Zea mays: one gene and its partners. The protein of the gene in region 2 binds, or shares a complex with, the protein of the main gene of each other region. Links are inferred from orthologs where the notes say so. Each region holds a gene or a part of one and is shown on either strand. Other genes may lie near its edges.

Evidence for each region.
Region 1: THO complex subunit 6 (region 2) and THO complex subunit 3-like share a complex: the UniProt entries of both Arabidopsis thaliana proteins name them as parts of the THO complex. The link is inferred for Zea mays from reciprocal best matches to the Arabidopsis thaliana genes DWA1 and TEX1.
Region 3: THO complex subunit 6 (region 2) and THO complex subunit 2 share a complex: the UniProt entries of both Arabidopsis thaliana proteins name them as parts of the THO complex. The link is inferred for Zea mays from reciprocal best matches to the Arabidopsis thaliana genes DWA1 and THO2.

Annotation. Positions count from the first base shown.
Region 1 is NC_050102.1:86,886,239-86,896,157, forward strand, and holds the start of THO complex subunit 3-like, read left to right. Parts: upstream 1-3,190; 5' UTR 3,191-3,215; coding exon 3,216-3,335; intron 3,336-4,123; coding exon 4,124-4,219; intron 4,220-4,839; coding exon 4,840-4,969; intron 4,970-5,464; coding exon 5,465-5,553; intron 5,554-6,105; coding exon 6,106-6,174; intron 6,175-7,489; coding exon 7,490-7,547; intron 7,548-7,683; coding exon 7,684-7,783; intron 7,784-8,577; coding exon 8,578-8,664; intron 8,665-9,508; coding exon 9,509-9,587; intron 9,588-9,683; coding exon 9,684-9,816; intron 9,817-9,919. UniProt on the Arabidopsis thaliana protein: Acts as a component of the THO subcomplex of the TREX complex which is thought to couple mRNA transcription, processing and nuclear export. Contributes to the integrity of the endogenous trans-acting small interfering RNA (ta-siRNA) pathway.
Region 2 is NC_050102.1:102,978,635-102,988,665, reverse strand, and holds the start of THO complex subunit 6, read left to right. Parts: upstream 1-3,255; 5' UTR 3,256-3,394; coding exon 3,395-3,640; intron 3,641-3,725; coding exon 3,726-3,835; intron 3,836-4,329; coding exon 4,330-4,406; intron 4,407-4,972; coding exon 4,973-5,018; intron 5,019-5,490; coding exon 5,491-5,551; intron 5,552-5,679; coding exon 5,680-5,733; intron 5,734-5,882; coding exon 5,883-5,963; intron 5,964-6,061; coding exon 6,062-6,101; intron 6,102-10,031. UniProt on the Arabidopsis thaliana protein: Acts as a component of the THO subcomplex of the TREX complex which is thought to couple mRNA transcription, processing and nuclear export.
Region 3 is NC_050098.1:214,422,906-214,433,054, forward strand, and holds the start of THO complex subunit 2, read left to right. Parts: upstream 1-3,420; 5' UTR 3,421-3,605; coding exon 3,606-3,749; intron 3,750-3,840; coding exon 3,841-3,969; intron 3,970-4,489; coding exon 4,490-4,531; intron 4,532-4,660; coding exon 4,661-4,720; intron 4,721-4,807; coding exon 4,808-4,870; intron 4,871-5,160; coding exon 5,161-5,241; intron 5,242-6,521; coding exon 6,522-6,596; intron 6,597-6,685; coding exon 6,686-6,733; intron 6,734-6,818; coding exon 6,819-6,887; intron 6,888-7,041; coding exon 7,042-7,175; intron 7,176-7,615; coding exon 7,616-7,691; intron 7,692-8,059; coding exon 8,060-8,250; intron 8,251-8,521; coding exon 8,522-8,602; intron 8,603-8,692; coding exon 8,693-8,888; intron 8,889-9,281; coding exon 9,282-9,470; intron 9,471-9,549; coding exon 9,550-9,630; intron 9,631-9,714; coding exon 9,715-9,834; intron 9,835-10,149. UniProt on the Arabidopsis thaliana protein: Acts as a component of the THO subcomplex of the TREX complex which is thought to couple mRNA transcription, processing and nuclear export.

The DNA.
Region 1 (9,919 bases), about 16 Mb from region 2:
ATCACATATTCTTTTGAGTAAAATGGAAGCACAAGGGAAATGAGAGAAGAAGGGCTTTAATTAGTTATCTGTTTTAGTGATTAGCAAACCATCATTTTTAATCCAAGCTACTAAGAATATTTCTATGCTTTATACTATAAGGGAATGACTAAGTAGTGGGTTGCTTTGTGATGACTGACTTTTATTTTCTTGACAAAAGTTGGCATACTCTGCATTTACAAAGAAGCAAGAAAAGGGTCACCGATAGCTTTGTCTATCAGACAACCTTCATAAAAAATTTTGTATGCTAAAGAGTGTTCCAGAGAACCATAGGTTTTGTAAGAAGATTTGCACAACAAAGACTCTAAAAGCTATAGATTTCGAGTGCACGAGTCCTACAAAAAATAGACATGATATTTATTTCACTTCAGAAAGAGAAAACACTAAAAAATAGAACTCGAAGAAGGGGGTCCTAAATTAGTTAGTTGTTAAAGCGATTGACAAAGCATAATTTCTCTTCAAGCTGAGGAAAACATTTTTTTACATCCTGAGGGAATGGCAAAGCATCAGACTGTTCGTGATGGAGAAATCCTTTTTCTTTTGAAATAAGTGTATGTACCCTGCAATCTAAAAAATCAAAGCCAAGGACAACTTTATCTAGCAGACAAATGGAGGTAATAATTGTATGCAGATTGATTCACTACTGGATGAAATTGCATTTTTTCACAAATTGTAGCCTCCCTAAGCTCCTGGCACGAACGAAGCATACAAAGCCAAAAAACTGAACTCTAGAGGAAACAATGGCAGTAGCAGCAGATGAACTAATCTACCAGTTCTAGTAAACATGCATGAGAAATCCTAAAGGCAGCTCTGAATTGGCAAGCGAACTAACATGAGAATGGAAATGAACCTGCACCCAGGGAGGCCTTCTCGAGAGATAGGTCATGAACGCTACGAGCACCACATCAGGCAAATCCCTTGGCGACGGTGGATACGACACACAAAGAATGGAAAATCGCAGGCCTAAGGAAGGCGATTTTGGGGGAAACTTCAGTTGTAGGGCACAAAAACGCGAATTGAGGATGAGGGGGACTGAGGAGGAGATAATAAAAGGGAAGAAAGTACGAACCTTGTGTCCATGCCGCGACACTGCTTAGACGTGGGGTTGTTGTCAAGGCGCGCATCGTCGTGGTCAGAGAGGACAGTCACGTTCAGGGCTGGCGAGGACGAACCCCAACACATCTTCTCAAAGTGGAAGCTGCCTGTGGTCCGCGCTAGAGCAGGGGGCACAACAGCAGCGTCAAATCAGCCTCCATGGGGACAAATCACGGATGGTGTCAAGCGGAGGCTAGGGCTCGCGGTCGAATGCGACCTTCGCCTGACTGAAGGACAACCATACACCCGTGCCCATGCCTCCGCGTGCCGCGACGGCATGGCGACCTGCGAGGCGTGACCTGAGCACCTGCCAGCAACAGACGTTGGTCACTATAGTTGGCAGATGCGACGCTATAGCGGATGCGCGGCGACCGAACGGCGAAAGGCAAGGCCTGACCTGAGCTGGTTTCTGCACCGGACACCAAGCTCTGTAGCATGTGGGTGCGCACTGTAGCGGTGTCTGGGAGCGCGACACGAGGAGAGAGAAAGCATGCATTGGCGACACAGGCAAGGCAGGGCACGAGGGGGGCACATGTTGGCGCGTCCGATGCTGTACTGCCACGCGTCAGTAAACGTTAGGTGCCGAACCCGTGAAATGCGGTCGGTGTTTCAAACCGGGTCAGGTTTTAAGAACTTAGATATATATGCATAATTTGATGGGTTACCTATTCGGATACACCTAACCTTTTCTACCATATTCCTTGATCAAACTTGGGTATTATACTTTACCTTCGTAGCTATGCTATTGCTACAACTTAACTTTATGCAGTCACTCCGATTTGTGATATTAAGGTTCCAATTGGTAAGTTTACATTATTGTTGCTAATCCGACGATTAAGCAAGATCATATGATTTAATTGGAACATGAAGTGACCACCCGGGAAAACAGTGCTACCATGAGGGTGGTATGGGACGCCCTTGGCTAAATAACTAGGGAAGTCTTATGTTGGGTGCTGGTCGTGGTCGACCGGAACGGGGGCATCTGGCAAGCGCTTATATTTCTGGCTCAGACAGATTGGATACATGCATAATTCCCAAAGCTTTACCCTGCAGACTGGACTATAAGTTGGTTACGTTAGATGTGCTCTATGCAGTTTGACCATTTCCAGCATTTGCATAATGAGGACTCTAGGGAAAAGCCTCGTAGTGAGACCTTAGCCATTCACCTCGGAAGTGAATACAGGTCTAGCTAACCCAAGCTAGAAGGGGATCGTGACTCATGGGTAAAGATGCGCCACCTCTGCAGAGTGTAAAACTGATATATCAGCTGTGCTCACGGTTAAGAGCAGCCTAGACTCCTCACATGATAATTGAACTTGAAGATGGAAATAAATCGAGATCCGATGATCTGCCAATGGTTTGCTTAAGTGGTTTCACTTAAGTGTTTTTGATATACTCTTATACCTTTGTTTAATGGGAATACTTGGGATTCACACTTATTAGTAAGACAAGTGTTGTTAATAAAATGTTGACCAACTAAAATGCCAATCGCATTTAACTTTAGCCTTACCTTGTTACCTTGCATTTTCCCCCACTTGCTGAGCCCTGACCATAAGTGAGCTCACCCTTGCTTAAATTTTGATCAGAAGTTTGCAGATGAAGTTATGATGCTGAGCTCCATGGATGCTAGTCTATTGATACCCCCGGTCATCTTCCTGTGGATGGATGTCCATGTTTCGCTGTACTTTGATGAATAAAGGTTAAGACATTATGTCTGTTCGAAGTGTAACATGTTAATATAATCTTTATTTACGCTCTTATGTATCATTCTTTTAATATATTACACTTGTAATGTCAATATATGTGTGAAAATAAATCCTGGCACACATATGCTATGCACCCGGCTCTGTCTCAAAGAAACGGGTGTGACAGTTAAGGAATAGGTTTTTCTTTCAAAATGAAGGTTGGTAGCTTATGGAATCATGGGCCTAGATCATATTAAACAAACAGGACCTGAGTTGCTGAATGTTTTAATGTAGCCTAGCCCATCAGGCCTGGCCCGATCTCTTCATGGGCTAGTTTGTGTACTTTGGGATTGGAATTGGATTACTCCCCTCCCGGACAAAACGGGGCGAGAGCGCATGGAGAGCAGAGAGGAGGAGAGGAAGGGCAGCGGTGGCGCCGCCGCCGGCGGCGGCTCGACCCCTGGGGCGAATCTAAGGGACCTGGTGTCGAGGGAATACTACGGCCACAAGAAGAAGGTAATACCTCTCAACGCCTCCCCAATATCCCATTATAATTTCTTCTGAGCCCCTATAAAACCCAGAATCTCGCCAGAAGAAAGGTTTCGAAGTTCCAATCATTAGGGTTGCAATTCGTAGGGTGAGGCCCTAAATTCCGGCCTTGCATGCAGAATGATGAAACAAGGTGCGGAAGTAACAATCTTTGGGCCTTCCGGTTTGGTTCCTGAGAACATAGATGGGATCGTGGACCTATCTTGCTTTCGATTCGAAGCTATAAGCGTGGAGAGGGGATTTAGCTATTTCTTCTCTTTATATAGAGCATGAAAGGAGTCAATGTTAAGGCATGATGAAAACGAAATATTGCTGCAGCCACAGTTAGTTGCAAATGAATTTAGTTGCAATAGGCAATCTATTTTGGTTGTCCTTTGTTGCAGCAAAGGGGCCGTGGTGCCTGTCCTTGCAGGGGAGCAAGAGCAGTTTTCCTCTGGTTCTATAAAGAAATTTGAGATTATCTTAGGGCATGTTGTAAAGTTGCAATGAGGAGAAATAAGAAGGAATGATCTTTCTTTCAGGATGAATATATGACATTCTGAGGATGTTTTTTCTTTGTTTCTTACATTATGTTGAATGTGTTGCTTAATTGTCCTTAACTCCTCATAGCGATCTTCAAAGCAAAACCACTCTACCCTAGTACTTGTCGGTACAAAATTTAGATTGATTTGTGGGTTCTTATTTTTGCTTTGTTTTATGCATTTCTTTGGTAATCTTATCATTGTGTTCACCATTCTGATAGTTTTTATCATTAGGTGCACTCTGTAGCATGGAACTGCCTAGGCACAAAGCTTGCTTCAGGATCGATCGATCATACCGCACGTGTCTGGAGCATTGATCCACATGTCCATGTAACTTTCTCTCCTTCTGTCCTTGGTACCAAATTTATCTTTACAGAATGGGATACGCTCCCCACTGTTTTCTTATTAAGATAATGATCGGTTTGGTAAATTTTGAAAATCTGCATAACTGGTATATTCCCTATCTTATAGAACCTAGATAATAAGTTATGACATTGAACTTAAGAAAGCATTAGTTTGCGTGATATGCCAAAGAGGGACAAATGCTTCTCATCTGCACCTCCCTTTTAACTTCAAGCTTTGGCTATTGCAGAAATTGTGACAGGTACTTTACAGTAATATTCCTGTTTCTTTAGCTTGTGCGCAATATAATTTACTTTTCAGTTTATCAGTTATTGTGGTGTAACTCAACATATAATGTTCTTATAGTGCAACGAAACCTTTACCATAATTTGTAGCACGAGACGTGGTTTTATTCTGAACCGATGGAATCTTCAGAGTAAGCTGTAGAGTTTTGAATAACTTTTAACTAGAGTATATTACCTTGATTCTTAATAATAGCCCTTTCTATGCTTTTCTATTTGGTAGCAGAGAGCCAGAGAGTGTAATTTCAGCGTATGTTTCTATACCATTGAAAGATCTAAATGGGAACTTGTGCTAATTTGTTACAGTCTAAGGTTAAAGATATTGAACTGAAAGGCCACACAGATAGTGTAGATCAGCTTTGCTGGGATCCAAATCATCCTGATACAGTTGCTACTGCAGCTGCTGACAAATCTATTCGTCTTTGGGATGCTCGAAGTAAGTAGCACAGTTCATCCATGATGTTGCTAGAAAGCACAGTTTTTCTTTAGCATTTCATAATGCATTTAGCATTATACTTCTTAAAATCTATGAAATACATCTTTTATTTTGACTGCATCTGGATCCATATAAATTTCTATAAGCTGGTAGAAGCGAAGTTCATTCAGCTTTTGAGATTGTGGAAGCGGGCTTGTGAAGATGGTGGGTGTTTGGAGACCATCCTAGCTTCTACAGGCTCGAACCTGGAATCTGATAAGATCCAAACAGGCCCTTTGTTATTTCCTACATTACCCCACATTTACAACAAATTTGATGTGGAAAGATCTATTATGTAATAACTTTATCTGGAAGCTATTTTGTCATATGTGACATCTGGCTTTCAGATGATATATGTTGTATTTTTTGTTCTATCTTGGACTCTTGGTGGTAGTTTCTGTCAATCAAGTTATAATGATTTTATCTTCTCGTCAATGCTTCTTTGTGTCTTTTTAGGTGGAAAATGTCAAGTTGTTGAACTTAGTGGAGAAAACATCAACATCACATATAAACATGATGGCACTCAGATAGCTGTTGGAAACAAGGTTTGTACTGCCTAACTTTTCTCTGCTAATGCCAAGAATGGATACATTTAGAAAACTGACCTATATTAATGTGGTTAGGTTTATTTATTTACAGTAAGATGGATTGTTCTACTGTCACTTTTGGCTTATACCTTTTTCAGCAAGTACGTTAAAAAAGTTCAGCCATATTGCTATTTTGGTGTTTCTTTTCTGGAAGTCCTACAGTTTTGCATTGCTGAATCCTGTACCAGTATGGCAGTATCATAACAATATAGAATATAGAATTGGATTATGCACCTAAAGTTGTACATATAGGCATATTAATTAATCAATTAGATGGAGCTGTGACATGTTTTATTCTGTTTGGTTATAGATAAATATTCTTGAGCTTGAGAAATCTATGTAAATAATTTAAGTAATTTGTGAAAAACATGCATTTTGGGGGAGGGGGGAGGGGAATCATATAAGGTTAATAAAACTGTATCTATATGATGTTTACAAATTACTGAAACTCTAATTTTTTCAAATTATATATTTATATGTCTACAATAACAGTTTTGTTATGGTTTGTAGGAGGATGAGCTGACGATATTGGATGTTAGGACACTTAAAGTTGCTAAGAAACACAAGTCTACTTACGAGGTAATTATAAATTGAAGCTTGGATATATGAATCATTTTCTAACAACTCTTTGTTTGATCCAACTGTTCTTTGGATTAGGATGCACATATACATGTCGGTAGAAATAAAATAAAATAAAATAAAAACTCGACCTGGAGGGGGTAAGACCGCCCCACGACATTATATTAAGACCCCATGACATTATATTAAGAAGACCTCATGCAGGTCGAGAAAACCCTCGAACCCCTGCTCCACCCATAAACAGCGGCACCGTAGCCCATGTGAGAACGACTGCGACCGGGGCTGGGCCTTAGACCTGTGCTTTGGCGTGGGACAAACGAGGGTTTTTTTTAACCACAGCCTGAAAATTCACTCCTACGGGGAGTTAAACCCAGGACCTGAGGAGTGCTACTCAGAGCATCTAAACAACTCGGCTAGAGACCCTTTCGCCTTGTAGAAATAAAATGAGCAGCACTGTTCTTGTGTGCTTGTCTGAGACAATTTGATGTATGGATGTTTTTTGAGTAAATGGGTACTGCTGTATGAATTTAGCAAATAATTGAACATATACTTTATTTTAAAACTTGACTTGCGGGGGATAAGACAACCCCCATACATTGTATTAAGAAGAAGACCTCACACATGTTGAGAAAACCTCCGGACACCTGCTCCAGTGCTCCACCCATACACAGTGGCACCATAGTCCATGTAAGAACGACCACGACCAGGACCAAGCCTTACACCTATATTTTGGCATGGGACAGACAAGAGGATTTTTTTAACACTGTCTGAAATTCGCTCTCATGGGGAATCGAACTCAAACCACCTAGCTAACTCAGCTAGAGGCCCTTTCGCTCGTATACTTTATTTTAATTTGTGTATTGCTGATCATGAACCTTTCGGCAGATGAGGTTTTTTTTTCACCCCAGTATAAAATTTGCTGTCATAGGGAGTCAAACTTAGGACCTGCTACTCAGCCACCTACTCAGACCTGGGGGTGGGGGGATGGACTGATTTGCCATTTTGGCCTCTCCCTCAATGCAATGATACACATTATGTGTGTTCAAGGAAAAATGTTGCTTTCACTGTTTAATGTTTGCAACTTTGTATTATTGCTTTGTTCCTGAGATGAATGAGATCGCTTGGAATAAAGCTGGAGATCTATTCTTCATTGCAACTTTGCACTTTTTTTTTTGGGGGGGGGGGGGGGGGGGGAGGGAGGACTGATTTGTCATTTTGGCCTCTCCCTCAATGCTGATACACATGTGTGTTCAAGGAAAAATATTGCTTTCACTGTTTAATGTTTGCAACTTTGCATTATTGCTTTGTTCCTCAGATGAATGAGATTGCTTGGAATAAAGCTGGAGATCTATTCTTCATTACTACTGGGTTAGGTAGGATACTAAATGCTTTCTCCAAGCTCACGTTAATAATACTGAATAAATAAACACTGTATTTACATTTTGGCAGATTTCTAGTGCTACCATATTGTATCAGTTAATGTTTCCGCATGGTCTATTGGTCATGCAGGGCACGTTGAGGTGGTTAAGGATCTTGAGTTTTTAAAGCCCTGCAAGCTGAATGCTCATACAGCAGGGTGTTATTGCATTGCAATGGATCCACTTGATAGGTATTTTCTATTGAAGGCTCTTTATTTATTCTCGCCCCTGGTACTTCTTTGGATCACTTGGATTTGTAATTTGTACTACTTCAATTGGGTTATCTGGCCTGCTATTTGATTTAAGATGTATGTAACAGTGAACTCTATAAATATTTGACACTGATGCTTGCATGATTAATTACTTTAATTCCAATTAATACTGCCACAACCTATTCACATATATTTTGGCTATTAGAATAACAAAATTCTTTTTCTTTTTAAAAGACCAGAATAACAAGAATTATTGAAATTTTATAGCCTAGCTTCATCTCTAGGTAAAGAAGAAATTGTTAACTAATAGCAACCTCTGGGTGAGTGATTAACTAGGACATGACCTACATGTAAGTGAGTTTGAGAAGAAATGATTACCTGTTCTGTTCATGCAACTACTGAATTCAGAATTTACATAGAGGAGCAATTTAGTTTGCCAGTGGATCTAGTTTATTTTCTACGCTAGATACTTTGTCCTGCGAACTGTGAGGCTCAATATACCACCACATAGATTGAGGTGGAGAAAATCGCCTGATGTGTGACTGAGTCTGGGCCTAAATGACGGACCCATATTGTATGGTTCCAATTAGCCTTGTTTGTGATGAAAGCAATTATGTTCAAGTTTTGGTCCACAACAATATGCAAGTAAGCTTCATACATTTTGTAGTCATCTTTTGGATATAGTAATCAGTTATCTGGTTTCCAGTTACTCTGATTTTGGGAGAAGCTATAATTGTTTTTCTGATGACAGTTACAAATTGTTCCAATGCTAGGTATTTCGCTGTTGGAAGTGCAGATTCACTTGTCAGTCTTTGGAATGTCAAAGAGTTGTTATGCATTAGAACCTTCACAAAACTTGAGTATGTTCTTCTACCTTAACTTTACAATGTAACATTGCTAGATGGGAATAGTCTTGAATGGTTTTATTATATTTCTAAACATGAGTTCTCAGTTGTCATTATTGTTCCTTCGTTGGAAGACTATTTATTAAATTTTAAAGGTTTGAGAGTTTTGTGTGTGTGTTGGGGGTGGGGTGAGTGTCAACATCTTTTTTTTGTACTCTAGAGAGCATGTCAATGCAATTGAACTTAATGAAGGATTTGCACATTGGTACATTACACTGCACATCAGTTAAGTCCTTGACATATTTAATTGAGCCAATTGGTGGTTGCTATCATCAATTTAGGTTGATATGCAGTGACGGCCTCAGGGAATTGAAAAAAATTGACCAAGGGTCAAAGTTATTTTAGCCCTGGACTTGTAGCCCCTATATCCCCATTTTCCAGTGAGCACTGCTATCACAGGATAGTGGGAACTATGATAAATGGTGGATGGGTGGTTCTCACGTAGTGGTTGAGTCTCTCCACTTCTCCTGGTTTCCAATCAGCCTCCTTGCGAAATAAGTAAAGGTTAAGCTGCCTAAAAATTACCTTCTGCTGACACATCAGGGCTTTCAGCAATTGATGTGCCTTTTTATGAGAAATGTTGGAAACGTGCGGTGATGGGGGGTTATTTTGACATTGAGTTCACTTAGTTTGATGAATATGCATTTTCTGGCGCTTGGAGGGGTTGGATGAAGAAACGGTGATAAGCATTCATTCAAAGAAAAACCTTGATAAGTGGAGCAAGTAGATGTAATCCTCCTTCCAGTTTCAATAAGCTTACAAAGATTTATATCTTTATTTTTATTCTTACTTCTCATAGGTGGCCTGTAAGAACAGTTAGCTTCAGTCATACTGGAGAATTCATTGCATATGCCAGTGAAGATCCTTTCATTGACATTGTGAGTCGTGACACACGGGAAAAATTGCTTTTTTTTCAATACTAGATGATGTAAAAAGTACTGTTATTTTATGTTTTTTTATTATACTTCCATCAGGCCAATGTTGAGACTGGACGATCAATTCATCAGATTCCATGTAAAGCAGCTATGAATAGCGTTGAATGGAATCCTAAGTACAACCTCCTGGCCTATGCGGGAGACGACAAGAACAAGTATATGACTGATGAAGGTACGGTTGCTGCTGCAATTCACTCATTAGCAAGGTTATTAAAACGGTAAAACGTTGGAACGCTCATGGGTCAAAATTTGACTTTTAAACGTTTAAACTTTGT
Region 2 (10,031 bases):
TATAGGTTTACTCGCCGTGTGGATCTTGTGGTGAATTAACTCTCGTATTTTCACCATCCACGCTTAGCTTATCTCTCGCGTTTTCCACTATAAGAGATCCATCTTCTATTTTCTGCACAGTTCATAGTCTAGATTTATTCTAGCAGTTGAACTGGTTCAGAGTAGTTCAACTTGCCTTTATTACAGTTGAACTGGCCTGCACCAGTTGAACTGTAGATTTAACATTATCTCGAAGGTTCTGGTGATAATTTTCAGGTTTAGCCTATTCACCCCCTCTAGACTACTTTTAGTAGGCATCATATCCTTCAGGAATTTTTTGATACGAAAATCCTAAATTATGGGCATACTGGTTTTTACCCTATTTCTTAAATGTAATCCTAAACCACCTAGGAGGAACCGTGTTAAGAAGAGATAAGCAATTGTGCCTTGTCTTCTGAAAAGATAAAAGGTGTTTGTCTTTCAAATCTAGAAAAGACAGTTTTCTATTATGTCACATAAGTCCAACCTAGAATTTAATCATTTTTTGCACTACACATGCAATGAGAGGTGAACATAGCAACCAGTGTGGAACTACTTAAAGGTCTGTTTGTTTCAGTTTTTTTCTGACGAGCTTTTACGAGAATTTGATTGTAGGGATAATATGGATGTGAGGAGAATTTGAGTATTATGTGGATTACATGCGAAGGAAAATGAAGGGGTCCATGGGGTTTAGGATCTAGGAAGTGATGGATTCCTCCTGTCGCGACGACTCGACCGATTGTGTGTTCACGTTAATTTTGAACAACTTTCATCAAAGCGATCCTCATAGAAGCGAACTGAGAAGCTGAGCGTTTGGTAGTCCGCGACAGCTTGTGACAGCTAGAATCAGCAAAAAAGCTGAAAAACAAACAAACCCTAAGATGATGGAAGAGCAGTTCCCTTGCCATGACCAATATTTTATCAAAATACATAGCACAAGCTATGTGGCTAGAAAAAAACCAAAATATCTTATAACTTGGAAATGGAGACTTAAAAATGTTGGCTAGGACATTAGGCTATACTTACAGCCTCCTCACTTGTCATAGATAACTTCATTTGTGTTCTATAGACTATTTTAATGCATGTCACTCCTTTTTTAGCAACTGCATTTGATACATGTGATTATAACCAATGATGTGGAATGTTTTGTTTGCAATTTAGGAAGAAAACAATTTAGAAGTTCGAGTGTTCTTAGATTTAGTGGATGATAAGAAGTGGAAAATTTGGGAAGAACACAGGTAAGTGTGTGTGAGGATAATTTAATTCACTCCCATATAATGTGTGCAAGTGTACAAAATAATGAATTAGCCTGCCATGGTTTGGGCCTGTGTATATAAGGTTCTCGATACAATATGCATGTTTATTTTCATTTCTATCAGCTGATGTATTCTCATTCCTATCGGTTGATGTAACAATGAGTAATATTTTTATATTCTAGAATTCATGGGTTGGTCGATAGTGCAAATTTATTGGCCCGAAATCACTTGCCTCTTATTCCACCATGGTTATCTCGGACTGCCTACTTAGTTTAGTAGTTTGAGGAATTTCTAGCGGGCAACATGTATAAGTGTCTAGGGTTCGGTTGGAAATTGTCAATTCATGTCGCATAAGAATATGTGCGATATTGATATCAATTATAATATATGTATTGTTTGTTTTCATGTAATCGTTGTGCACTAACATTTTATCGAATAATTTGTGTGTCGTCACAACGCACGAGCATTGTACTATATATTTGAAGCACCAGCTGAATCGACATATGATCCATATGCGTTTGTATAACCTCATATATGTACTCACACCTACATGTTAATTTGGTATCTACAACCATTGGAAACAATGCCTATGGGTATCACCCTAGTGATAAATCGGAACATGCTCATAGCTCAAGGTTCAAATGTCATTTTTTGGAAAAGATGTCCATGAAAAGAAAATTAACAAATAAATAATCTCAAATCCAATTTAACCTTAAAAATCATTAGAAAAAACTACATTTATATTTAACTAAAACATGCTCTATTATTAGATCCAGTTTGAAGTTATTTGGGTATTTTATGGGTTCATTATGATGTTTATTTTATAGTAGTTATTCTTCTATCTATAATACTTATAATTGACTTGGAGGAACTAGACTTCATATAGAAGGGTGACCTCAACGATTAGAGAAGTGTTGAGGAGAGCTTTTGGTCGAATATCTATATTTGATGAAAATTGTTGCTTTAGTCTATTTTCAATTGGCTACCTCCGAACCATGTGTCTAAATCGGAGGCTTAGGTCGGCTCTCCATCAAGAAACGACAAGCCAAAGGAGAAGGAAGAAATGAAACTTTAATAGGATTGAACTACCTTAGTACGTTATCGAAGGAGGAAGAAAAGGTGTATACAACACTTCTTCCCTAAAAAAGACATAATGTTAGTCTCTAGTTGTACATAGTCTTCATATAGAGGAGTGGACATTCTTTTTCTGAGTTGGAATGTGTGTAATCTTGATCTTATAAATAAGTGTACAATGCCACTGTTACAAGGGTTGGTCACTTGTATGTCTAAGCCTGTAGCACCTTCGTGCACAAAGAGTATTAGAAGGTATGTCATCTTCAAGCACTTAAATCAGTTTAAGAAACCTTCAATACCTTCCAAAGGTTTCATAACTGCTATGTATTCCTCATCTTTGTTTAATCCAATAAAGGAGAAAGGAAAAATGTAGACCCTTGTAAATTGAATACATGCTTCGTCTACGTTATTTAATGGTACATTAGAACCCATCAAAGATAAAAAAGAGAGAGACTTTACTTTAATTGTGTTGCCCAGTTGCGTTTTTTTACAAAAGCTTCAACAAGTCACCAATAACAAATATCTTAACTAGCTCATCAACTAAGCACTGCATATGAGGTCATTACATAACACTCATAACATTGTCGAAGTCACTTTGCCCTTGCCTTATACAAAATCCATGTCACCATAATGTATCCATAGAAGATTCAAATAACTCCACAAAAGATTCTAGAAAAAGAATTCAAAATTGTTTCATATTTTTGTCGAGCAAAACCATATTTTTGTGTGAATTAGACTAGATTTTATTTTTAAAAAATTGCATAACTCCTAAGGGAGATGTTCTCAAGAAAACCATATAAATATTTTTTCTTATAAATTTATTTGTTTAAAATCATAAGGGAGCGTGCCACAAAGGCTTAAAGCATTTTGATGGAAAAGTTTAAAGATGGGCCAGAAGCCGGCGGAATTCTAGTTGAAAGAAGCCCAGCCCAACCCGCTGTCGCTTTCACTTTTCTGTCGGGAACTCGGAATTGTCCCCGTCTTCCCTGATCCCTTCGCTCCCCGAAGCAAAAGCGCAGAGCGCATCAGCGCAGAGTAGGACAGCCATGGCGACGGCGGCGGCGCAGTCCCATCCGGCATCGATGGACGCGCGCCGGTGGGACGAGTCATCGTACCGCCGCGGCATCCTCCGTGCCCGCGACCTCTCGTCCCGCACCCTCTTCCGTGCCGTCTTCTTTGACCACAGCGACGACCCGGATACCGACATCCTACTCGCCGCCGCCTCCAGCGACGGCTCCCTCGCTTCCTTCTCCCTTTCATCCTGCATCTCCGCATGTTCCGCTACCTCCCAGGTTCGTACCCTTTGGCCAGAACTGATTTTTTGGTGACGCACGCCCAGAGAGGCGTAGAGTGAGTTTTTCTTGGTCTGGTTCTCAGGTGGAGACCGCCGCCACTCTGGTAGATCCTGTCTGCATCGTGCAAGCGCACAGCGGACCTGCCTACGACGTCAGGTTTTACCCCGATCAACAGCAGCCGCTGCTCTTCAGGTGACTGACAGAATGTTTGACTTGGCATGTTTCATACACATGGCTAGTTACTAGTTGAGGCTAAAAATTCGCTTAAATTAGCTGTGGTTAGCTAGCTAGTTGGCTACCAACTAGTTGAAGACTTGGCTAAAAAAATTAACCCACCAATTTGCCCTCCTGTTCGGTGGATGCGCTAAAGCTAATTTTGGCTATTTCTTTAGCGCTAGCAACTAGCCCTTGTATCCAAACAGGCTCTTATCCTTATTGACTTCTCCAACTAGTTGAAGACCTGGCTAAAAAAATAATCCACCAATTTGCCCTCCTGTTCGGTGGATGCGCTAGAGCTAATTTTGGCTAATTCTTTAGCACTAGCAACTAGCCCTTGTATCCAAAGTTTCCAAACAGGCTCTTATGCTTCTTGACAATATTACCCATGGCAATGTGCTTCATTTGGTTGGAGACGGTGATGGGTTAATGGTTGTGCGGTTCTTTGGCTGCTTACTTCCTTGTGGCAGCTGCGGGGACGATGGCCGCATCAAGGGTTGGAGGTGGCACGAGATGCAGAGCTGCCTTGTCCCGCTCTCCCTGCAAGGTGCTGCATTCGAACTTCCATTCTTTTTTGACGTGGTTTCTTTCATAAATGGTCATATGCTTTACCAGGCCACTAGGGCATTGCGATGCATCTAGCACAGGTGCACCGAAAAAATATGCACATTTTTTACAATGGTGTAGGTTTGATGCAGGAGAAATCATGAATCATGCCCTGCACTGGCATAGATACAAATCTAGAATCTTGCCAGTGCAAGGCATGATTCATGTGAAAATGTTTCATAGTTGCTACTTATTTTATCTATGAAGATGCATCAATATCTTTTGTAGTTTTTCTGTGTGTTGCGCCTTGAAGGCCAAGTTAATATTATTTCAGTTTTTTTAATAACCAGTATAGTTGTATTGATAAAAAGTGAAACAAGGCATCTGTTGTTTTTCGTACATGAGAAAAGGTGGAAGGAACGAGCATATGTTGTTTTTCCTATAAAGGAGAAAAGGGAGAACAAACGAGTATCTGTGTGGAAATGCGCCGAAAATTGCCTAGTGCATCTTCTACATTTTGGTCATTGTTATTGCTTTTACCAATTTTTCTGTTGCCTTTGTTCACAGGGGATCATCTGGAACCAGCACTTGACTTGGTCAACCCTCAGCACGAGTAAGGATTCTGTGATAAAACTGCAATCTCAGACCTTCCAGTTTACACCGTTTATTCCAGCAGCTGCCCCCCCCACCCCCCCCCCCCAATTTACCCTGTTTGCATTGTTGCTGCTCAAGGTTATTAAAACGATAAAACGCTCATGGGTGAAGTTTTGACTTTTAAACAAAGTTTAAACTTAGTTTTGAACAACATAGGAAAAATACCAATATATCATAATTTCAGACAATAACATGAAGTTAAATACCAAAATAGAGAGGCTAGTGGCTTATCAAAACTTCACCCATGAGCCAGATTGGACCCTAACTAACAGACTGGGCCCAAAAGTAGCTAATGGTCTAAAACACATAAAACACTGCGTTTTACAGTTTAGAACGACAAAACGTGGTTTCAAGCTCTAATTAGCGTTTTGACGTTTAAACATAGTTTAAACGTAGCTTTAATAACATTGTTGCTGCTGGCAATTTTGTAGGGGTCCTTGGGGTGCTCGATCTCCAGTACCTGAAAACAATGCCATTGCAATTAATAAACAGGTTAACAACTGGAACTTTTCATGTTTTTATATCCTCCAGGAAGTGTGACTGTCCCAAATTTTCGTTCCTCATGCATATTGCTTGGTTCAACAAATCTTATTTTCTGTTATCATCATTCTTCCAAACAGGATGGATCCATTTTGGCAGCAGCGGGTGATGCATGTGCTTACTGCTGGGATGTGGTATGTATTTTCTTAAGGTAAATTGAACACACATAGAAGGAACTGCAGTTCTGCTTTAGAGTCTTTAGCATTACAAGCTTGGATAATATCAATGCTCTGTGCTTGAGAAGGTATCTGAAACTAATGCTAATCATGACTGCTTCTCTCAGGAGACCAGTAAATGTAAAATCACATTCAAGGGGCATGCTGATTATTTGCACAGCATTGCAGTTCGTGAGTCAAACCGCCAGGTTATTTGATTATCTTGGCTTTCCATTATTTGATGTTCATCTTGTCTATAATATGTACAATATGTGATATGTTACTAACTGACTTATTTTTTGATCAGGTTGTAACAGGATCAGAGGATGGGACAGCTCGTATCTGGGGTGCGGGTTTCAAACCATCATCCTTTCCTGTCTTGTGCATTGTATTTTTTTTTTCTCGAAAGAGCGCAGGAGGACTGCGCACCCATATATTAAAGTAGAGGGAAAATAAAGGGCCATAAGGACCCAGGTACAAGCACTCCTTATGGAGGCCAGAAACAAGCATACACAAAGCTATCCATAAAACTGGACAAAAAACACTACAGCCCTAGGAGCTAGGTAGTTTGGCTGGCCAAAAAGGAAAGCCCCTTGGCACCAGCCAGCCGCCACGTCTCCTGTTCATCCTCAGCAGCTTGAAGAAGGAAGGAGATAGAGGGGGTCCTTCCATCGAACACCACCTTGTTTCTATGATTCCAAATCATCCAGGCCCCTAAAGCAACAAGGGAGTCCAGTCCTTTCTTTCCCATGTTGAGGACCTGAGCCGAGGAATTCTCCCACCAACCAAGGAAGGAAGGCTCCACTTGCTGAGGGGATAAGCTGTGTAACCCAAACTTTCTCAAAAGCCTATACCAGAAAACTCTTGAGAACACACAGGAAACCAGCAGGTGATCAATGCTTTCAGGTTCTTGATCACAAAGAGGGCACCTAGCCGGATGGTTCATGCCTCTTTTCTGCAGCCTATCAGCAGTCCAGCATTTATCATGTGCCACCAGCCACAGGAAGAAATGGCACTTGGGTGGCATCCAGGATTTCCAGATTCTTTTGTGGTGAAGAAAGGAGCACGATCCCTGGAAGAGCCCTTCATAAGCAACTTTTGCTGAGTAGTTACCATCTGGCGCTATGGAAAAAATGTGTCTGTCTTCAATATCAGGATGTAGCTGAAAATCCGTTAAAGCTTCCCAGAGATGCAGAAAATCAATCAAGGCCCCTGCTGAGAGAGCGCCCCTAATATCACTAATCCATCTCCTATTGTCCATTGCCTCTTGCACTGTTCTTTTATTGGCAATTCTTTTTGATATGGTGCAGAACAGTCTTGGTGCAATATCAGCTACCTTTTTCCCATTAATCCATTTATCCACCCAAAAAAGAGTATTCGCACCATTGCCAACCTCTGACATCAACACTGCAGAGAAGAAGGACCTGGCAATACTTGGGACCTGAATGGGTAGGTCCACCCATGGCCTCGAAGAATCAGTTTTTTGCAGCCACAACCACCTCATTCTGAGAGCCCAACAAAGCTTAGTCAGGTTAGAAATCCCGAGGCCTCCCATATGTAGAGGCCTACAAACCTTTTCCCAGGCTACCATACAGTGACCTCCTTTAGCATCCTTTCTGCCTCTCCATAAGAATCCCCTTCTAATTTTATCAATTGCATCCAAAGCCCACTTAGGAAAATCAATAGCCATTGCAGTATAGATTGTCATACTAGTTAGGACATGCTGCACTAGAATTCTTCTGCCAGCTTTGTTCAACAACTCTGCCTTCCAGCTTGGGAGAAGATCTGCAATTTTCTCAATAAAGGGCAGGAGCTGCTGTTTGGTTAGTTTGTGTAGAGAAAGAGGGAGACCCAAGTATTTGCAAGGTAGGGACTCCACCCCACAAGGTAACAAGCTTTGAACCTCCAGGATGGTCTGCTCCGAACATCTGATAGGATAAATACTGGATTTCTGCACATTGTTGTGTAGACCTGAGGCATTCCCAAAGATGTTGAGAATGTCCAGAGTAGTGGAAATGTCATTCTGAGTTGGGAGCAGGAAGAGGGCCACATCGTCAGCATAAATAGAAATTCTATGAAGTTTCTTTCTGTTGGACAATTGTTGCAGCAACCCTGTCTCTTCAGCTTTGGCAAATAGAAGGCAAAGGACATCCATGACTAAAATAAATAACATGGGGGAGAGGGGATCCCCTTGCCTGAGCCCCCTTCTATGTTGGATTTTATTGCCAGGGCACCCATTGAGCAGCACTTGAGTAGTTGAGGAACCAAGTAACCCACAAATTATATTTCTCCAGATTTGGCCAAAACCCAAAGCCTGCAGCACCTCAATCAGAAAAGGCCATGAAACCGAGTCAAAGGCTTTTGTGATGTCGAGCTTAAAAAGAAGACATGCCATATTTTGCTGATGTAAAAATCTTGAAGTTTGCTGCACTAATATAAAATTGTCCTGTATAAATCTGCTTTTGATGAAGGCACTCTGATTTGGGGAGACAAGCTCATGCAGATGACCAGCAAGCCTATTGGCCAGGATCTTGGTTACCAATTTTGCAAAGCTGTGCACAAGACTAATCGGTCTGAAATCCTTCACCTGATCAGCCCCATCAAACTTTGGGATCATAGTAATATATGCAGAATTAACTTTATCCAAGTTATTGAAGTTCCTACACCAAATTGCTGAAACTGCATTGAGTACGTCCACTTTGATGATGTTCCAACAAACCTTATAAAACCTCCCAGTAAAACCATCTGGGCCAGGGGCCTTGTCAGCAGGTAGGTTCAAGACAGTTGCTAGAACCTCCTGCTCAGTGAAAGGGGCGTCCAAGATGGAGAGGTTATGAGCTGGGAGGCCGAGAGCAGCTAAATCAATGGTATTCTCCCTGGAGACCGACTGACCAATAAGGTTGGAATAAAACTGATCCACTAAATCTGCTTTGGCAGCATGGCTAGTAATAATATTATCACCGTCTTTCAGCAAGGTCACCAGATTTTTCCTTTTCCGATATCTAGCATGCATATGAAAAAACTTGGTGTTTGCATCCCCCTCCTTAATCCTGGATATTCTTGATCTTAATCTTGCCATGGTACGCTTGAAGGAGGCCAGCAGCAGGGACTGTTTCTTGAGTCTATTTTTAAGCCAGCATTCAGCCGGAGATAGGGCCCTGTGATCTTGAGCGATTTCGAGTTTATGCAGCAACTCCTTTGCCAGACAAAGCTGCGAAACAATATGTCCTACCTGCTTATCACTCCAGCTGCGTAACCTCATGGCTGTCACCTTGAGTTTCCTATCCAGGGTGATGAAGGGACAGCTGACCGGCTGTACAGAATTCCAAGCCTCCAGCACCACGTCCTGAAATCCCTCCATTTTGGTCCAAAAGGACTCAAAATGGAACCTTCTCTTGCCAACAATATTGTCTTTTAGACCAAGAAGCAGCGGGCAATGATCTGAATCTTGAGAGGATGAACTGAGCAGAAGCACATTTGGGAAGTATGATTCCCAGTCAGCCGAGCAGAGTACTCTATCCAACTTCACAAGCACCGGGTTATCCTGTTGATTGGACCAGGTAAACTTTCTGCCATGTAGCTGAATTTCTTTAAGAGCTAGATCGTTGATCAGCGATCTGAACCGGCCCATCATGTCCCTGTTGAGGTTGAGTTGTTCTTATCACTGTTCTTGTAGATTAGATTAAAATCTCCTGCGACCACCCAAGGGCCAACACAAGCCGCTCGGGTATCTCTCAGCTCCTGTAGAAAAATAATTTTTTCAGAATTCCCCTGAGGCCCATAGACACATGTTAACCACCATGGCTGGCCGTCTTGTCTACAGAACTGCACTGAAACACAATGATTATCAATTCTCTGGAGTCCAGTATGACCAATATTCCTCTTCCAAGCCACTAGTATGCCCCCACTATTTCCTATCGAAGGCAGGAACACAAATTCTGTGAATTCGACACCAAGCATGGATAGTATATCTCTTCTAGAAATAGATTGCATTTTAGTCTCTTGACAGCATACAACATCAATTTTAGCAGAATCAACCAGCATTCTCACAGCATCTTGCCTGATCGAAGAGTTAAGTCCTCTCACATTCCAGAAAAGTATTTTGGAAGGATCCATTGGAAAATTAACAGAAAACGCCAACTGGACAGACCTAAGACCTTAAGTCTTCAGGTGTAGACCACCCAAACAGAGCAGCTAAGGCATCAACATGAGACTGGATAAGCGGGCGTTTAAAAAGTAAAGCATACTCCATGATAGCATCAGAAGTAATCTTATCA
Region 3 (10,149 bases), on a different chromosome or scaffold from region 2:
TAGACCTAGGTGTGACACTATATACAAAACATCTTCCACTTAAGATGATCTACAAAGTCTACTACGTAATTATTATTATTGAGGTTCTAGACTAGTGGACAATTAAGGTTAAGTTTTGCATTGTCAAAAGGTTTTTTTGGTCATGAACTAGGGTTTGGAACTTCTGTTTCGGTTCAAAATGAAAGTGCGCCTAGGAAGTTCAATAGGTCAAACTTTGCCAACTCAAGTGCTATATAACATCAACTTTTGCATTTGATTCACATTTATTTGTCTAATAAAAGCGGGAGGACATATAGTATCAAATTTGTAACGTTAACCCAAATTCAAGACAAGTACTCTAAGTTGTTTTTATGAATTTGAATTTGTTCTAGAATAGAGGTTTCAAATTTAACTATCTGTATATTGTTTTCTAACTAATGTTATATACTACATTAAAGTACATGACTTGTACTCTCTTATTTTCAAAATATAGTTCTTTCTGACCCTTTTTCGTCCACGTTCGAATTAATGATAACGAATGTGGTACATACAATACATACTACATTCATAGACTAATCAATGAATGCATGTTTAGTCTAAAATGAATTGTATTTTGTGACAGAGGGAGTAATGTATTTCTTATGATGACAACATTTAAAGTATTTATACAAACAATTATCTATTTGACTAGTTGAACGTCTATTAAATTTTTATCTAAATTTTAGAGTTTCCTTTGACAACCTTCCTCATATAGTTGTAGTTTAAGTCTTTAATAAAAGTTGTTGATGAACTTAATTAAAGTTCGTTAGAAACAAAGTTAGCTCTAGTCAAATATATGTTAATATTATTTATTTAACAGGTTAGATTCAGAGCTTGTAGGTTTCATCATTTCAAGTGCTTCCTCTTTTATTCTTTTTCTTCCCCTTTCGCTTTTTTCCAGGTAATGATTGGATGCTTGTGCATCTTGTGTTGATGATTTGTATTACTTTCATATTTGTAGCCATTAATAATGTTTATTATTGTTTTAATTGTCTTTTCACCAATATAGAGTTCGACTTCCCTTTAAAGAGCTTGACCTCTATAGTTTTATCATTACATATGCTTATTTATCAAGGTTAATCACTAGTTAAATCTAGTTAAATTAATTTGTATTGATGTATAATATGAAATCATATTTTAGGTTGGGCGTTGACTTTGTTTTGAATTGCACCATTTCCTATTTATGATTATTATAGGAATCACATGTAGTCCTTAGAAACGTTAACTTTGTTTTTAGTAGGTTAGAGGGCTTCATATTTCTTCGTTGACCAAGATGAGTTGGATGTGTGTGTTAACATTTTTTGGTGACAATTAAGCACGAGTCCACCAACTTATGTTTAACATTTTGTTTTCATGTCCTCATATATTTGAGTTCCCTTCCACCTTGTTCTTATTTAGTCGGTTCTTAACTAAGTTGATGGTTGCATGTTTTAGGGTTGACTGCCTTACTAACACTTAGGTTGTTAAAGTCGGAGGGATGCCAGGTCGTCATGATTGCACATCTCTTGATTGTAAGGTCGTACCAATACTTAACCTTCAAAATAAAGTCTGGCTGAAACTATTAGTTCTCCTAGCTACCATTGTTGTTGGTGAAGTTCCTTTTCCACTTTATTGCACCTCTCTTGATGATAAGATTATACCAACACTTGACTTTATAAGTAAAGCTCATTTGAATCTATTGGATCTCCTAACTACTAGTAATGTTCCATGTTACATTATTGACTATCAGTACAATCCTTCGAATGGTTCGATGGCATCATTGAACATGCTTTACGTTGATAGTTTGTCATCATCGACCATCTAGGCTATAAGCATATCTTGTACATTGATGAGGAACAGTAGGTGAGTTAGAATCAAATTAGACTATAATTAGTTACTTATATAAAGTGATAAACTATTATAACTTAATATTAATAAGTGACATGGATAGCTAAATATATATTTGTGGATGACATGTATTGATACATGGAAATCGTAATTGCATCTGCTAACAGGTTGTGACTGATATAGATAGAAAATACAGTTAGGCCCGTTTGGATTCTTGGCATTGAATCCCATTTTATAACAGTAATTTAGGCATAAATCAATTAAGTTAACATGGTTCAACGCATAACATATTTGTATACCACTGTTAGTTATATGAGGAAGATATTTATGTGCAATATTTTCGGTACAGATGAGCGAACTGAAGAGCGTGTTATAAATTGCAGAGCAGAGTCATAGCTTAAAGATATATAAAATCAATTTCAATCCCTCAACTCTATGAATTTGAGACATGTTTATATTTGAACTTTAAAAAGTGGTTGAATACCAAATCTCAAACTAAGTAGGCTACTATATTAAGTAAATTTCAATTCCTTTAAAATAAAGAGATCCAACTGTCCCTTAATGTTCAGTTATGCTATAAGACACAAGCTACGAGTGTGGTTGTACTAATCTCCCAGTCTCAACGTCTGTGCAACATCATAGTGTGTAAGTTTGAAAAAAATGCGAGAGTCAAAGCTAAAGACCTAAAAAACATATAAATCTCTCTCTATCTAATACTAGAGTGTGATTTTTTTTTCTTCAAAATCACTACATCACACTCTTTCGTCACTCGACCCACTTTGTGAGCGCGAGTAACTAATTTTATTTAGTATATGATAAATTCAATATCTTAACATAGATATACATGTAATTTGGTGCTAATATTTAATTATGTTGTTAAGAATATTATGAAAAACAAGAATAATTTTTTGTATATTTGTTCGTGCATTGTTTTCTTCATACATGGAAAAAGTAAAAAACACCCAAATTTGAATCTGTATGCGTATCTGGATTTTATACCAATCATTTAAAAAGGGTTAGAACAAATTTAATGTTTGTTTTTTATGAATCTTAATAAGCTCAATGCTACACACAAGAATATAAATTATATATCCTACTTGTCACAATTGAAGAAAGTAGCCAAAAAATTTAACATCACATTCCAACGCACATGGACTGGATGAGAATATGAGATACACGAGCATCCAAATAAAGCTATAATTGATTTACCATCTATCCACAATTTAAACTCATCTATCGTATGAATACAAGGGATCTAAATTATTATTCGGCTTAACTCTTATTTTTTGTTACTATATTTAAATGGATGATGGTAAATATTTATATATAAAAAACATACATCAACATTGTATAGATTCATTAAAATTCTTAAACGAATTTTAGTTTGGGATAGAGGGAGTATATAACTACGATATATAATCTGATTCTAAAATGCACAAACGAGAACAAATGATCCAATATATAAACTCTGTTGAAATGTACATATTCGTTTACTTTGGTAGCTATTATGAACGCTGGATCTGGACCGTTGACAGCTTAGATCGCACTAGGCAAGCCTCTGTTTTCACTGGTGTAAAACAAAAAACGGAAGCCACGCATCCCGTTCTTGCTTGCACACACCGCGCTTCTGCCGTCCTTGTCTTCCTCGCCTTCTCCATCGGTACCACCCCGGTCCTGCTCCTCTTTCTCTGGCCTTTGGCAGCTCCCATGAAACCCTAATCCCCAAAACCCTCACCCGAACCAACACTGCCGCCACCGCCATGTCGCCCCCTCTGCAGGCGCCCGACTACAAGCACATCACGGATGAGTCCCTTCGCGAATGGAAGGGCCAGTCCGCCGGCGCCTTCCGCATCCCTGATCCGGTCCCCATGGCGCGCTTCCTCTACGAGCTCTGCTGGGCGATTGTAAGCTTTCGACAGTTCGGGTTGCTCCGTGATTTGGTTTTCCTCCACCCGTTGGTCCTTCTGTGCTGACTGGGTGGGCTGGGATGCGCAGGTGCTGGGCGACTTGCCGCCCCAGAAGAGCCGAGTGGCACTGGAGTCGGTGGTGTTCGTGGAGGAGGCACGGCGGGAGGAGGAGCTCGGCTCCGTGCTCGTTGATATCATTGCCCACCTAGGACAGGACGTGAGTATATGCAATTTATTCTGATGCCATCGTTGTGGGTAGTAAGTTTGTTTCGTGGTGTCTGGTGTGTATTTGATTAGTTAACTTTCTCAGACTAGGATTGTATGATTGTATCCTGTCATGTGTTTTGGTGGCACTAGCTATGTGTATATGGACTGAATTGGCCACTTTGTAGCGTTTATGAGGTGTCTGTGTCTCTAAGAAGTTCTGTTTCGATGCATTTCTTTGAACTAAAAGGTGGACAATAGAGACGACACTGTATAAATGCAAATAATACTATTCACTGTGCCATTACCATTTCCCATCATATAATTTTAAATGTTTTCCTGCCTCTGTTGCTTTTTTATTTATCTGCTGCAATTAGGTTATTAGACTTTGACCCATGATTCACTGCTTTTACGTTTTACCTGACATGAGCTTTGGCACCTGTGTTTTTTTGGATGAGTTTTTCTCCTCGTGTTTTGGTTTAGTGACATTCCTCTAATAGTGTTTAGTCATTCTAACTTACTTCAAAATGCAGATTACAATATCTGGTGAATATCGCAGCCGTCTTGTTAAAATGGTAATAAGTTAGGCATGACTTCTAAAGCAAATGAAACAATTCGTACTCCTCGATGTCTACTTTCTTGTTGGTTTAAAAATGGGACTGCTTAAGTGCTCATTGAGTTCTATATGGATACTCATCTTGCAGACTAAGTCATTTGTGGAGTCGTTGATTACTGTGCCTAAGCTTCTGCAAGAGCGATGTGAAGTGAGTTTTTTTATTCCTTTTGGCATCAGTTTAAGATAAAGCTGATACATTACATGCTTTCTATTTCCTCCACCCATGGACTTGAAGGAAGATTTCCTTTGGGAAGTTGAGCAAAGTAAGCTAAAAGGCCAGGATTTAAAATCCAAGGAGGTACGCATAATGTGCTGATTTCTCTATCTGTCATACACGTTGAGTCATGATGTTTTATGCTGGCATCTTATTGCGGGCACACATTGTTAAACTTTTTTTAAGTAAACTAATTTACCATGGTATATTCATAGTATCCTTATTCTTTTTCTCAATCACATTCATGTCCTTACCTTTCCTCTATTATCGTGGTTCTTGAGTGATTTACTTTTGCCTCATATTATTCGGTGATATGTTTTTTCTTTTAACATTAGCTATATGATCGATTGACGTTGATCTGTAATTGGTAACAGGTTAGGGTCAACACACGGCTTCTTTACCAGCAAACTAAATTCAACCTCTTACGGGAGGAAAGTGAGGGCTATGCCAAGTTGGTATGTATGTCTACTTGTCCCGATTTTGTGTTCTTTTTTTTGTTCTTGTAGTGATTTTAGAGCGGCAGCATTGATTAGGCCATCCCTATAAAACATTGGATGACACCCTTCGTAACCACCATGTTGACTAATCTATTAGAAAAATGGATCAGATTTTGTGTTTCTTTTTTCTGCAGTACCTCGACATGACATGAGCGTGAAAGAGGTTCAAGAAACTGTTTTCTTTCTATAAGGGATAAATGATTTAGTTGACTAGTTTATTCCTTGGATGCACATGCTTATGAATAAAGATAACCATAATCCTGTTCCTTGAATGGTAGTTGATGGTTTGTCTACCATACTGCCTTGTCCATCTGGGTTTTGTCCTTGTCTGAAAGTGCATGCTTGGCTCTTGTACTAGCCTGATCAAATTCTACCGCAACACATGTTGCACCTTGAGTGTCGTGACTGGTATGACCACTCTTGTAACCTCTGCTGTTGTGCTTTGTCACAACCATAGGTTGTTAGGAGGGAAATTGAGAAGCTGCGACAATCCATTTGCTGGAGTAAGAATTAGTTTATTAGGATGAGGTCAAAATTTAGCAAAGTATCAGTTCTTAGTTTCTTACATCCCCCTAGAGTTTCTTAGAAATGCCAGAGGGCCATGAACCTACCAATAACCTAAAAAATTTAGATTAGTACTACACCGTTCCAAATTATAAGATATTTTGGTTTTTGGATGCATCAATTGCTTTTCCTATGTATATAGACATAGTTTATATCTTCCTTGCCGAAAAAAGATAGCGTATATCTATGTGCATAACAAAAGCTATGTACATAGAAAAGTTAAAACATCTTATAATTTAGAATAGAGGGAGTACCAAACAAGTGCACTGTTCAATGTGTTTTGGTTAAAGTAATAAGTACATATGGATGCTAAGGATAGGAAATTAATATAAATATAGTAGGAATCTATGAGTTTATAATTCCCAAAGCAACTGTTGGAAATGTGTTCCAATTTAATCACTTTAGGCTATCTCCAGTAGCTCTCTTATCTCCTATTTCAAACTCACTCTGTAAACAATGATGTCTACAGTGCTAAGTGTGCTATGCTTAGGAATACCACGTCCTCTATCTCTATATAGACTTGTACTTTGAAAATTACCTAAATGATTGTACCTCGCCACTGTCTGTGATTTCTGCTAATCATGTTCTTCCTATAGTTTTGTAAGGTTCTTTTGTGATGCTTATTAATGTTTAGCGGTTTCTTACCTACACATCTGTGTGTGTGGATCATTCAGGTGACACTCCTTTGTCAAGTTGGTTCAGATCTGGCTTGCCAGAATTCTTCTTCGGTTACGATCAGCATTATAAAGGTTGTCTGTAGGCCTTAATTCCCTCTGTGCTATATTTTTAGCTTTTTTTACCAGTACTGTGTAATAACAAATTGTTTATTTTGTGGCAGTCATTGATTGGCCATTTTGATCTGGACCCAAATCGTGTATTTGATATTGTGAGTCTTCGTTTGCTATGCCAATGCTCTTAAATGTCAGAGTGTGGTGTTGAAGTTGTGCAATTCTGTTGTTCTTGTCTGCCAGGTGTTGGAATGCTTTGAACTCTACCAAGATAGTAACATCTTTAATCAGCTCATACCTCTTTTCCCAAAGGTATTTGTTCTATTAGAATTAGAAGTTTAGAACCAGCATCCAATAATAGGAGTCTCATAATTTATGAATATTTTCAGCTTTTTACCACATCTCACATGATTTTTGTCATAATTAATGCAGCGTTTTCACAATTTAATACATTTTTTTATTTCAGTCCCATGCTGCCCAAATTTTGGGGTTCAAATTCCAGTACTATCAACGATTGGATGTCAACAGCCCTGTTCCTTCTGGCCTTTTCAGAACAGCAGCTTTATTGATCAAATCTGGATTCATCGACCTTGATAATGTGTATGTTTTCTAATTGCCTACTCATCCATGGAAAATTCATGATGGCTAACATTCATCTTGAAGATCATTATACATCTCTAATTTAAACAATTGTCAGATCTTTTCCTTTTATTTTATGCTGTGAGGTTTTGTAGCTATGGTTTTCTCAAGGTGTAACCAACAAAAGCATTGTTCTTCAATCTTTTATCTGTACCATGGTGGCCATTTCCTAGTTTCCCAATTTTATCACAGTTTTCAGTGTTGTTAGATTTCTATCAGTTCATTTTCCTCAAGTTGTGCAAATTTAGGTGTTACTGAACCAAAGGGAACATATATAAATATATGATTTCACTGATTGTAGCCTCTCTATGTTTTTTTTATGTTCTACTATATATAGTTTGGTTGGTGCTGGACTATTTGTTTCTCGAATGGGATCTGTCATGACCATTTTTTCTCTCCAGCTATTCTCACTTGCTTCCAAATGACGACGAGGCGTTTGAGCATTTTGATTCTTTCATTTCAAGAAGAATTGATGAGGTTGGTATTTCTTATAAATCTGTAACTGGCCAAGAGAGTAGCATGAAAGGGAGTGGCAAGAAGGTTGATGGATGGAAAACTTTAGAAGTTTCTTGAAGTAAAAGCCTTATGTACAGCCATCCCTTCATGTGACATATACTGCATGGTTATGTTACACGTTGTTGTCTTGTCTAACTATGTACAATATTTTCCCCTTTTGTCGTAATGAAAAACAGAAAGAGCTTTAGTTTTTTTCTTCACCGGAACAATTTCTACCTCCACACGTGGATTTGATCTTACATTAACAATATGGCCATATTGATTTCTCTTTATGTAGTGTAGGACATTGAGGCTTTGACTAACGAAGTTACTCTTTTTCTTGACTTTAGGCTAATAAAATTGGCAAAATCAACCTTGCTGCTACTGGGAAGGACCTTATGGATGACGAGAAACAAGAAATTACTATTGATATGTATACCGCATTGGAGATGGAAAACGATATAGTTGGGGAGCGAGCCCCTGAGATGGAAAAGAACCAGAAACTTGGGCTACTTCTTGGTTTTCTCTCTGTGCATGACTGGTAAGATACATATGTTCCGTTATTTTTTACTTGTTCTATAATTATTAAATGAACACAAATGTTTTTTATTGTTTTATTCATAGGTGGCAATCACTTTTCTGTAGGAGATGCACCAATATTCTGCGCACTTTGTAAACATAATTGTTGTATAATCATATTGTGAAGACAATACGCTATTTCAAAGCACTTTTTAGTCTAGATTGACTTTGTTGGGACAAAAATGCTTTATTGTTGTAAATATTACTGATTGCTTTCCTCTGTTATTTACTAGGTATCATGCACAACTACTATTTGAGCGTCTTGGGCACCTAAATCCTGTTGAGCACATTGAAATCTGTGATGGATTATTTAGGTTTGTTGTATTTCTTTTGATCCAATGATTATATTTCTTAGGTTTATGCAGTTTAACTTATATTCACCTTTATTATTTTCCTTTATGCAGAATGATTGAAAAGACAATGTCTTCCGCATATCATATAGTTTGTCACCTGTATTATTACCTGCCTCCTAGAAATGATGCTGACCAGACAGGCACATCTGCTGTGTCTGTAAGTTCATTTGATCTGCTGAAGGAGTTTTTCCAAATGCTCACCGCTTGTGGACCATATCTTCATCGTGATACTCAATTATTTCAAAAGGTGACTTAAATCTTTTACTACTGCTTGCTATCATGCATACTTGGCGCTGCCAAACTGATGGCTTAGTCCAGGACACAGATGCTACATTATTGGTTGTGGCATTGGAATTCATACAGAAGCACCATACTAGCCCTTGCATTGCACCTAGCCATAGTCATGACTAGAATTTCCTCCATTCGTTGCGATAAACCAAAATGTCACTGTTGTTGGCTTGTTGCCTAGTTATAACAATCAACAACCAAGTTTTGCAGCTTTGCAGTTGCTGTGCAAAATGTTATATTTTTATTATTCTTTGCTTGGAATTTGCAAGTATCCAGTTTCACATGAATACTCTACCAGTGAAAATGTTGAACATCACCATGTACTTGGTGACCCATCGTCCATGTTTTTTAGGTTTGCAGAGTATTAAAAGCGTACTACCACTCATCAAAAGAGTCAACCCGTGTAGCGAATGTAGTTTCACCAGAATCTCGAATCGAGGAAGCACTTGGGTCGTGCTTGTTCCCTTCGTTGCAGCTTATCCCTGCTAATCCTGCTGTTGATATGGAGATATGGGGGGTTCTTTCCCTTCTTCCATATGAGGTTTGTGATATCGTATAATTTTGTAGTGCTCTATTCATGTTTTTAGCAATTTAGTACCTTGACTATCCTTAGTCTCCAGGCCCGCTATCGTCTGTATGGTGAATGGGAAAAGGAGACCGAACAAAACCCAATTGTCCTTGCTGCAAGGCAAACTGCAAAGGTTACCTTTCTATGCTGTTTGACATTTTTTAAATCTATCACTTCATGTCAAGTTTTGAGTTCACACATAGCATTTTTTAATCAGCTGGACACCAGAAGGCTCCTAAAACGGTTGGCTAAGGAAAACCTGAAGCCACTTGGACGCATGGTGGCTAAACTTGCCCATGCGAATCCTATGATTGTGCTTCGGACAATTGTCCAACAGGTATGTGGAACAGAAGTTGTGTGATATTCACTGCTTTTAGGGTTGGTAATTATTTGATTTCACTTAAAAATTTATTATGTGCTCCATATCCAAAGTTCCAAACATTGTATTTCCTTGGGAAACCTGAACCACTATGCCTACTTCCTGGCAACTAATATTTTTTTCGAATGAGTTCTGTTTAGCCTTTTCAAATGAAACATCTAACTCCATAGTTCAGTATCATTTTGCCATGCATGGCATCCACCAATAGCCATGTTCTTTCCTGTTGCCATGCTATTTGGTATACCATAGTGGTATAGCTGGCTATTGCTCCAC